2 linked regions of the Coturnix japonica genome follow. The protein of the gene in region 2 purifies or fractionates together with the protein of the main gene of each other region. This does not show direct contact. Links are inferred from orthologs where the notes say so. Each region holds a gene or a part of one and is shown on either strand. Other genes may lie near its edges. The genes, in order: NUP37 and NUP85.

Region 1 (3,808 bases), on a different chromosome or scaffold from region 2:
TTAGTAAGGAGTAAAAAAAATAAAATGAAACTAAAAAGAGGTCTTCCAGATCATTTGGAATTGTCTGATTACATAACAGTGTGTGGAGACAGAGGTATTACCATTACACAACTGAAGTTTGTGATGTATGCTAATTATTTGGTTTTGCTTGTTTTGTAGCACACAGAAGAAGATGGTGACAAAACATCTTCCTTGTTTAAATGATGACAAGCAATCTCAATTTAGAGTACATGTGACAACTCTAAAATATTAAAAAGACCTTAAATTATAACAGTAACAATTCAGTCACTGAACATTCTTCCTAAAAAATAATTTACAATGATTAATATAAATCAATAATATGAGTATCTTGGAATACGTAGTAAATAGCTCTTAGATTGCTGGTAACCCAAATAAATCTACAAATAAATACAGTTTTTGTAGGGTTCAATTTGATTTTTTATCTGTAGGTATTACAATTATTGTGATTACATCATCAGCCTCTTCACTGTTTGTGGTAATTTCTTTAATCAGCAAATACATTCACAGACAATATGTTACAACAGTACGTTACTGTCTTTCTTTCTTAAAAGACAGCAATGAATCAGGAAAGTTAAGACAAAGACACGTATTCATGCTGTAGGCACTCTGTGAGAATTTCAAAGTATTTGTGCTGGGTTAACTGAGAGACAACTGAGATTGCCAGATACAAAATCTCTTCAAATAAACAAAAAAAAAGTTACCATTAAAAAACAAATGCCACACCAAATACCATGTTGAAAAATGTGTATATTTAAAGGGAAGTAACATAGGTATCTGATTTCAGAATAGTTTTTTCATTTGCAAGCTGAAAATGAAACACAAAAGGTTTCTTATTTTATTTTTTCTTATATCCTGCAAATGAATCCAAATGAATCCTGCTACCAATCCAAAGAGTAAATGCTTTGCTTTGCTGTGAAAAAGATATCATACTCTGAAGTTCAATACTGAAGGCAAATGGCAATTTTTACATTTCTGTTACCCAGAAGAAAATTTTATGGTCACCTCCAACTGCACATAACGGAAGGGTTCTGTGCCATGTCAATCCAGATCCTACAGCTGCAGTACCAGTAAGGATGGGCTTAAAGAAAGAATAAAAAATTAAAATAAAAAAAAAGAGAAATATCAATACAGGTTACCATGTACACCACGTGTATGAAGTTACATGAACAAACTTTCACATAAAAGTGAAAAATACAGTTAAAATACAGTTAAAATACATCAGAAAAAAAATACAGTTAAAATACATCAGAAATGAAACTGAAATAACTGATAGTCTCTTCCTATGTTCCAGTAGCCGCTTAGTATAAATAAGATGTAACAACATCTTTCATGATAAATTTTTCAGCTACTTTCACTGCTTTTAACAATACTACTATTATAAAGTTATGCTTTCAAACCTAGGCATCTTTTTAATGAAATAACTTCCTGCTATTTAAGTGTAATCACAACTAACTAGTATGTTTGGCGATAATATCTTTTACTGTAAGCTCTGCAAATGTATACTGATTTCAGCAAAATCAAAAATACTCATTGTGCTTAACATGCACAGTCTTGATACATTCTCATTAATAATATAAACCTAAATGGAAGTTTTTTTCCTCCTTTTTGCATGAGACATAGCAATTGGGTAGATTAATCAGCCTTTTAAATAACATGCTAAGTATGATGTGCAATTTTTCTATAGCATGGATGAAACAATAAATAAAACAAATAGGCCAAGCAGCATTTCTGGATGGCTTTGGACTTTTTTCAGTTGAAGCTTTTAGCTAATTATGAGTCTGATTTGAAAGGAAGTGTTGCAATCCCATCCAAAAACCAAATTCAAAAGTTTACCTGGGGATGTCCTAAGTGATGAACAAGCAGTTGAGTAGTCGCCTTTCCTGGATATCCGACAGTTGCAAACAGATTTTCATTCACTCGGGACCACCTATGAATAAAATAAATGTACCTTTCAAATATCCCTACCAGACTATCAGAAGTGCTCACGAACTGAAGATTTCTCACTTGCTATTAATTGTATGAAGCCATCAGATATTCCACTGACACCAAAGAAATTCAGGGAAATGGCTTGTAAGTTATTTACTATCAAAACCCCTGTGTGCATGTTATCATGTAACAGAAAAATCATGGTCAGTCACAAATTTCACAAAGCTTATAGACCAGGTCCCCTTAAAATGATTTAGGAAACATATGTTCCTTAACTCACAAATACTTGATTATACATAGATTTATATTAGAAAGAAAATCACACAGTAAAGACAACGCTTATACCTGAATAATCTGGCTCGATCAACATGGACGGGTCTCTTGTCCTGTGGATAACTAAAACAGACATTCCATGTAAAAAGCCCTTCTGCAAACAACTACAGATCATACTGCAAGTATCAAAACAATTCTTTTTTAACACTGAAGAGGAAATATGGTCTACTCTCTGTGAAGAAGTTGATGGAAAACTTGAGCTTTTCTTCAGCTTACATTTCACTTCAGAGTAGGAAAAAATGAAGTAATTAGTGACTTTACTATGTTTCAACAACTAGATATTTATGACTTAGAATGAAATGTTAATAAACAAGTTTCACAAACAGGAGAGATGTTGTCTCAAATGGACAAAAAGGAAACATGTTACTTTAACAGATAGAAGTAAGCAAGAAAAAGTATGGCAAGAAATGACCTGTACTGATTTTATAATTTTTGATGAATACTTACTATTAACTGAATAGGTGATGCTATAAAATTATACTATAAAATTATAGCAATTAAATGCTATATTAGCAAAGTAGTCACATCTCTTCACGTGCTGCTTAAGGAACAAATACTCTCCTACATGTAAAAAATACCTGGAATGAGAGATATCCCAGATTAGCCAGTCACTTCCAGCAACTGCTCCAATTCTGAGCGTATTCTTTAAACACCAGTCTGCTGACATCAGCGGTGTTTGTTCACACTCTAAGGAGAGAATGGCCTGGTGTGTAACTAGGTCATAGAATCGTATTGTTCCATTTTTCTCTGCTACCATCAGCTGTAAGAGGAAATAATAAAACCTTGTAAACCTAGCACGTAAAAAATCTTTGCAAGCTTTTCCACTCTAAAGCAAACCTAGAGTCTTTTCAAGGACATAATAATCTATGGACTTCAGCACTTTTAATTATACTCCTATGACACTGTACACAGTGATTACATGATTTCATCTATATATACATACGTATACATATGTATATGTATGTATGCTTTGGTGTATAGCAGCGCAAGTTCTCAACCACTTTGTTCTGAGTACAAGGAACTGACTAACAGAGATTGTGCTGTACAGGAAACAATGATATCAATCAATGTAACTGTAATATCTGCATTCACACTTACTGATTTTGTATACCAACACTGGCTAGTAGCAAACAACAGCATATATTCAATTTTGATACCACTTGAATGAACAGTTCTCCTGATTTTCTTTGTAAGGACCATATATTCATGGGAAGCATAAAGAGAATTCACATCCTTATGCCCTGCTGCTATTTAACTATTTTGATACCTGATTTGATTGCTTATTCTTTTTTCTGTTAGAAGCATGTGTTTCTGTAATAATCTGAAAAACTATGTGTAGATACTTAAGGTAGTTATTGACACAAAAGAAATAATAAATCCTAAATTGCAAGGATTAGACCATTAATGAAGTTGAACTTGGTGTATCCCTTCTGGTACAAAAAACAGATAAGTAGAAAATCATAATTTTTTATTTGATTTTTCAGCATGTTTCATGTATTCCAAGCAAGAAAGACAAAACCAAAAATCT
Region 2 (3,920 bases):
TCAACTCTAGGCCCTGCTAATTTGAATATACAACCTCTGTGAATCATGAAATTGGATGGTGGTTGAGTCACTGTCCCTGGATGTGTTTAAAAGCCATTTGGATGTGGTGCTCGGGGACATGATTTAGCGGAGGGCTGTTGGGTAGGTAGGGTAGCATGGTTAGGCTGTAGTTGGACTTGATGACCCTTCGGGTCTTTTCCAACCTGAGTGATTCTATGACCTTGACAATGCTTTATCTTAAAACTACAAAGACAGAAGCAGCATCTCAGGTATCAGTTTCTGAGATGTGCTACAGTGCTGAGAAGAGGAATGCGAGACACACAGGCACGACTTCATCTAAACGTCTGACAGGGGGCTGTACTCACCACGTTCCAGAAGAGTTTGTGTTTTGATGGATTTTCGCTGCTCAGAACTTCACGGACCATGTTGTCTACATCACAGATGTGAAGCTGAACCCAGTCAAGGAGACGAAGCAGGAGAGGACCAGCTTTACACAGAGAAGGTATCACTGTTAGTTCCCAAACTGTTTGTCCCCAGGCAGTTAATTTAAGAAGGTTCTTATGCTTTAAGGTCAAATAAACTGGGAACAAGTTTTTGTTTATTATGCTTCTGTGAGAAATAAATAAATAAGCCAGTGTAAAGTAGAATGCATCCTGATATAATTTAATACAAAAAAATGCAATTTACTGAGGCAGAAAAGGTATCAGAATTCGGTGCTGCTTGTCATACACTCCACAGTAAGCATTAAGATGTAGCACCACGCACGCTGTCTACATTTTAAACGATTATTACGCAAACAAGACCACTTTCAGGCTTAACATCAGAACTGTTCACTGCTCACCTGGCGCTGCTTCAACAAACAGAATCTCACACAGATTCCAGATCAGCTCCATGGCAGAGAGAATAGAAACCTGACAAAAAGCAGAGCTGCGTTTCAGGGTCATAATTGTTCCTGTTATTTAATTTTAAGTGCACAGCTGAATGTGCTGCCCACAGAGATGGGTTTTTGTAGACAAGAGAAATGTCACATTGATATTCCAGAGATAATCAAAAGACAGAAACAGGCCATAACTTCTCTATACACATCCATTTTAGAAAATATCGGTGGTTTGTGTATTGAAATGCAACAGTAATCGCTCCTCAGGGAAATGCAGAACAGTGCAGAAAGTGTTAATTGAAGCCTTTTTAATCTCCTGAGAGTTAGAGAGCACAGAAGGAACTAAAGGCAAACTAAGCAACATCAGTGCTGTTCAAACAACAAACTACAGCCACGGTGTTGGTCTTTGTGGCTTTACTAACCAATATTCATGCAACTACGTGGATGTGACTGTACGTTACCTGAATGCTGTACTGGTTGTGCAGGGCAGAGTCCCGGGCTGAAACTGAGCGAAAAATACACCAAGTCAAAAAGCAGCATAAAAAGCAGCATATTTACAGGTACAACAAAACTTTCTGAGCTCATTCATACAGTCCTTGATCGCTCGCTGGGTACAGCCCCAGATGTGTGCACAGCTGATACAGCTCAGCTCACCCTGCAGAACTCTTTATAAATCTGGTATATTTACAGGACAAGGATGTTAAGACACAGTGAGTCCTCTCACTGTTTCAGAGGAGCAAGCTGGTGAATTTGACTCATTTTTCCACAAAACCACAAGTCATGACATGAAAATACTGCAAGTCTTCCCAAAATCAGTTACGAGATGATGAACCAACATGGAAATCTCAATGATGGAAGATGGAATCCTGTTAATTACTGAAGTTTATATGGGCTGTTTTTCAGTAGCTATAGCAACTTCCAAGAGAAATCTTATTTTTATCATCACAAGTAGCATCTTTTTACTGCAGTGCAACAGACTTACTGGCAGCCTGGTGCATGTCCTCCATGCAGGCTCTTATGACCGAGCGGTAGTTTTTACTCACTTGGACTAATCTGCCAAACACAAAAAGGATCGTTTACAGAGAGATACTGCTTCGGTTACGGTCCCTTTTCTGTGCATCCGTGGATGCTTCCAGAACCAGGGTCAGCCTGGTGGGTGCTGCCCGTGCTGTGCAGGGTCCCACGCACTGTTCAGCACCCAAAAGGAGGCTGTTCCGGCCCCACTCACTGCGCGTTCCTCGCCCTGGCAGCCCGCTCCTCCTCGCAGCGCTGCAGCCCCACGAAGATGCCGTGGGACTCGTTGAAAAGCTTCCGCAGCGTCTCCATGTAGATGTCCTGATCCCTGCGCACCACGAACACGCGCGACGGACCCGCCGCTCCGTCCCCGCCGCCCGCAGCGCCGCATCCCGCCGGCCCCGGCCCCGCGCTGCCGCCCCGGCCGAACAGCGTCTCGCACAGCAGCATCTCGGCGGGGCCCCACTCGAAGCACAGCTGAGCTCGGGCCGGGTCGGCGCCCGGCACCACCTGCGGGAAGGGAGAGGAGAGCGGGGGGCGAAGGTAAGGAAAGGGAAGGGAAAGGAAGGGACGGGGACGGGCGGTCCGGCCCTGACCGTCAGCGGCGGCTCCGTCTCGGGCTCCTCCATGGCCACGCCGCGCTCCCGCCCGCGCTGAGGCCCCTGGCGGCTGCCCGCCCCGCTGCCCAACGCCCCGCGGAGCTCCGCAGCGTTACCCGCAGCCGGCAGCCAGCGAGGCTCCCTGCGGGCTGCTCCGCTTCGGGCCCTCGGGACCGACGGGGCTCCGACACTTCGGGGCAGGCGCGGCCGGTCGCCCCGGAAACAGCGCCGGCATTGAAGGCCCCGGCGGGGCGGGACGGGGGAGGACGCGAGGAGGGGAGGGGAGGAGAGGACGGGCCGCTGTAATGGCAGAGCGGGGCGGGGGGGACGCGGCAGGAGCGGAGCGGAGCTGTGTCGTGTCCACCTGTCTGTCCCGCCGTGTCCCGCTGTCCCGCCGTGTCCCGCTGTCCCGCCGCGGTCGCTCTGTAACGGGCAGTAAAAAGGCAGGTGCTGCTCAGCCTGAACCAGCGCTGCTGAGAGGCCCGAGCCCTGGGCAGTGTCTGTTGGTCTCACTGCTCTTATTTTCCTTTTCGTCGTTGTGTTGAAGGATGTTTTGATGTCTGAGGTGAGGGTGTAGGAATGGGACAGTGTCCTCCTGCCTCAGGATCCCATCCAGTGCAAAGACTGAAAAACTACAAGCTGATGTAAAGCTGCAGCTCCTTTCCTGCTTTGTGCTGACGGACACAGCCCCTCTGCTCACTGACTAAAAACGCCAGTAGCTTTTCATGGCTGCAGCTCCTGCTGCCCTTGAGAAAGTGACTTTTGCCGAGGGAAATGACCTTGGCAGAGGTGAAGTTTAGTTTGCAGTGTCTTAGTCCTTCTTGGAAGGTTGGCTGGAGGTCTGCGTGTATCTAGGAGAGAGATGAGCCTGCACTCTGGCTCAGAAAGGCTCTTGTGCCTGACCAGTCTGTAACTGAATCGAATTACAACCAGAATGGCAGCGTGGAAGTACACAGTGTTCAAAAAGACTTGAGAGCTACAGCTCTGGGTTCAGCCAAAAGAACACGACTGTTTTCTGGGGATGGGAGAAAGCAGCAAAACTTTGAGGTCTAATGAGGAAGGGAATAAAGGGTTACAAAATAGAAGGTTGGAAAGTAATTTCATAGCTTGGGAGAAGGCAAGGAGGATAAGCATCGTGAAAGGGGAAGCATGAGACAGGCAATCACCTCGGCAATGCTTTTCTGCTCCTGGTGCTACACTAGTATTAATGAAGAGCAAAATCCGAATAAGCCACTCGCCCCTTCAGGGTTCAGGCTGAGAAGGTGCTGTAGGCTGACTGCCTTAGCAATAGGAATCCCATATATTAGTTTAAGGGCCAGTGTACAAGTTTAGCCAAAGGAATCATTGAGTGCTAGTTCTAAAACTTTCAGTTTGCTTGGTGAGTGAACAGCCTCGTTTTCTCTTAATTGTGCTTCACAGGAATAACAGAC

Evidence for each region.
Region 1: the proteins of NUP85 (region 2) and NUP37 purify together in Homo sapiens (affinity purification with western blotting; 4 studies listed by BioGRID and IntAct, with this or other methods). This does not show direct contact. The link is inferred for Coturnix japonica from reciprocal best matches to the Homo sapiens genes NUP85 and NUP37.

Annotation. Positions count from the first base shown.
Region 1 is NC_029516.1:56,782,441-56,786,248, forward strand, and holds the end of NUP37 (nucleoporin Nup37), read right to left. Parts: intron 3,041-3,808; coding exon 2,859-3,040; intron 2,344-2,858; coding exon 2,293-2,343; intron 1,949-2,292; coding exon 1,855-1,948; intron 1,100-1,854; coding exon 986-1,099; 3' UTR 749-985; downstream 1-748. UniProt on the Homo sapiens protein: Component of the Nup107-160 subcomplex of the nuclear pore complex (NPC). The Nup107-160 subcomplex is required for the assembly of a functional NPC.
Region 2 is NC_029533.1:9,354,853-9,358,772, reverse strand, and holds the start of NUP85 (nuclear pore complex protein Nup85), read right to left. Parts: upstream 2,620-3,920; 5' UTR 2,521-2,619; coding exon 2,488-2,520; intron 2,402-2,487; coding exon 2,106-2,401; intron 1,931-2,105; coding exon 1,860-1,930; intron 1,383-1,859; coding exon 1,339-1,382; intron 912-1,338; coding exon 842-911; intron 648-841; exon of another isoform or gene 488-647; coding exon 366-487; exon of another isoform or gene 1-365. UniProt on the Homo sapiens protein: Essential component of the nuclear pore complex (NPC) that seems to be required for NPC assembly and maintenance. As part of the NPC Nup107-160 subcomplex plays a role in RNA export and in tethering NUP96/Nup98 and NUP153 to the nucleus.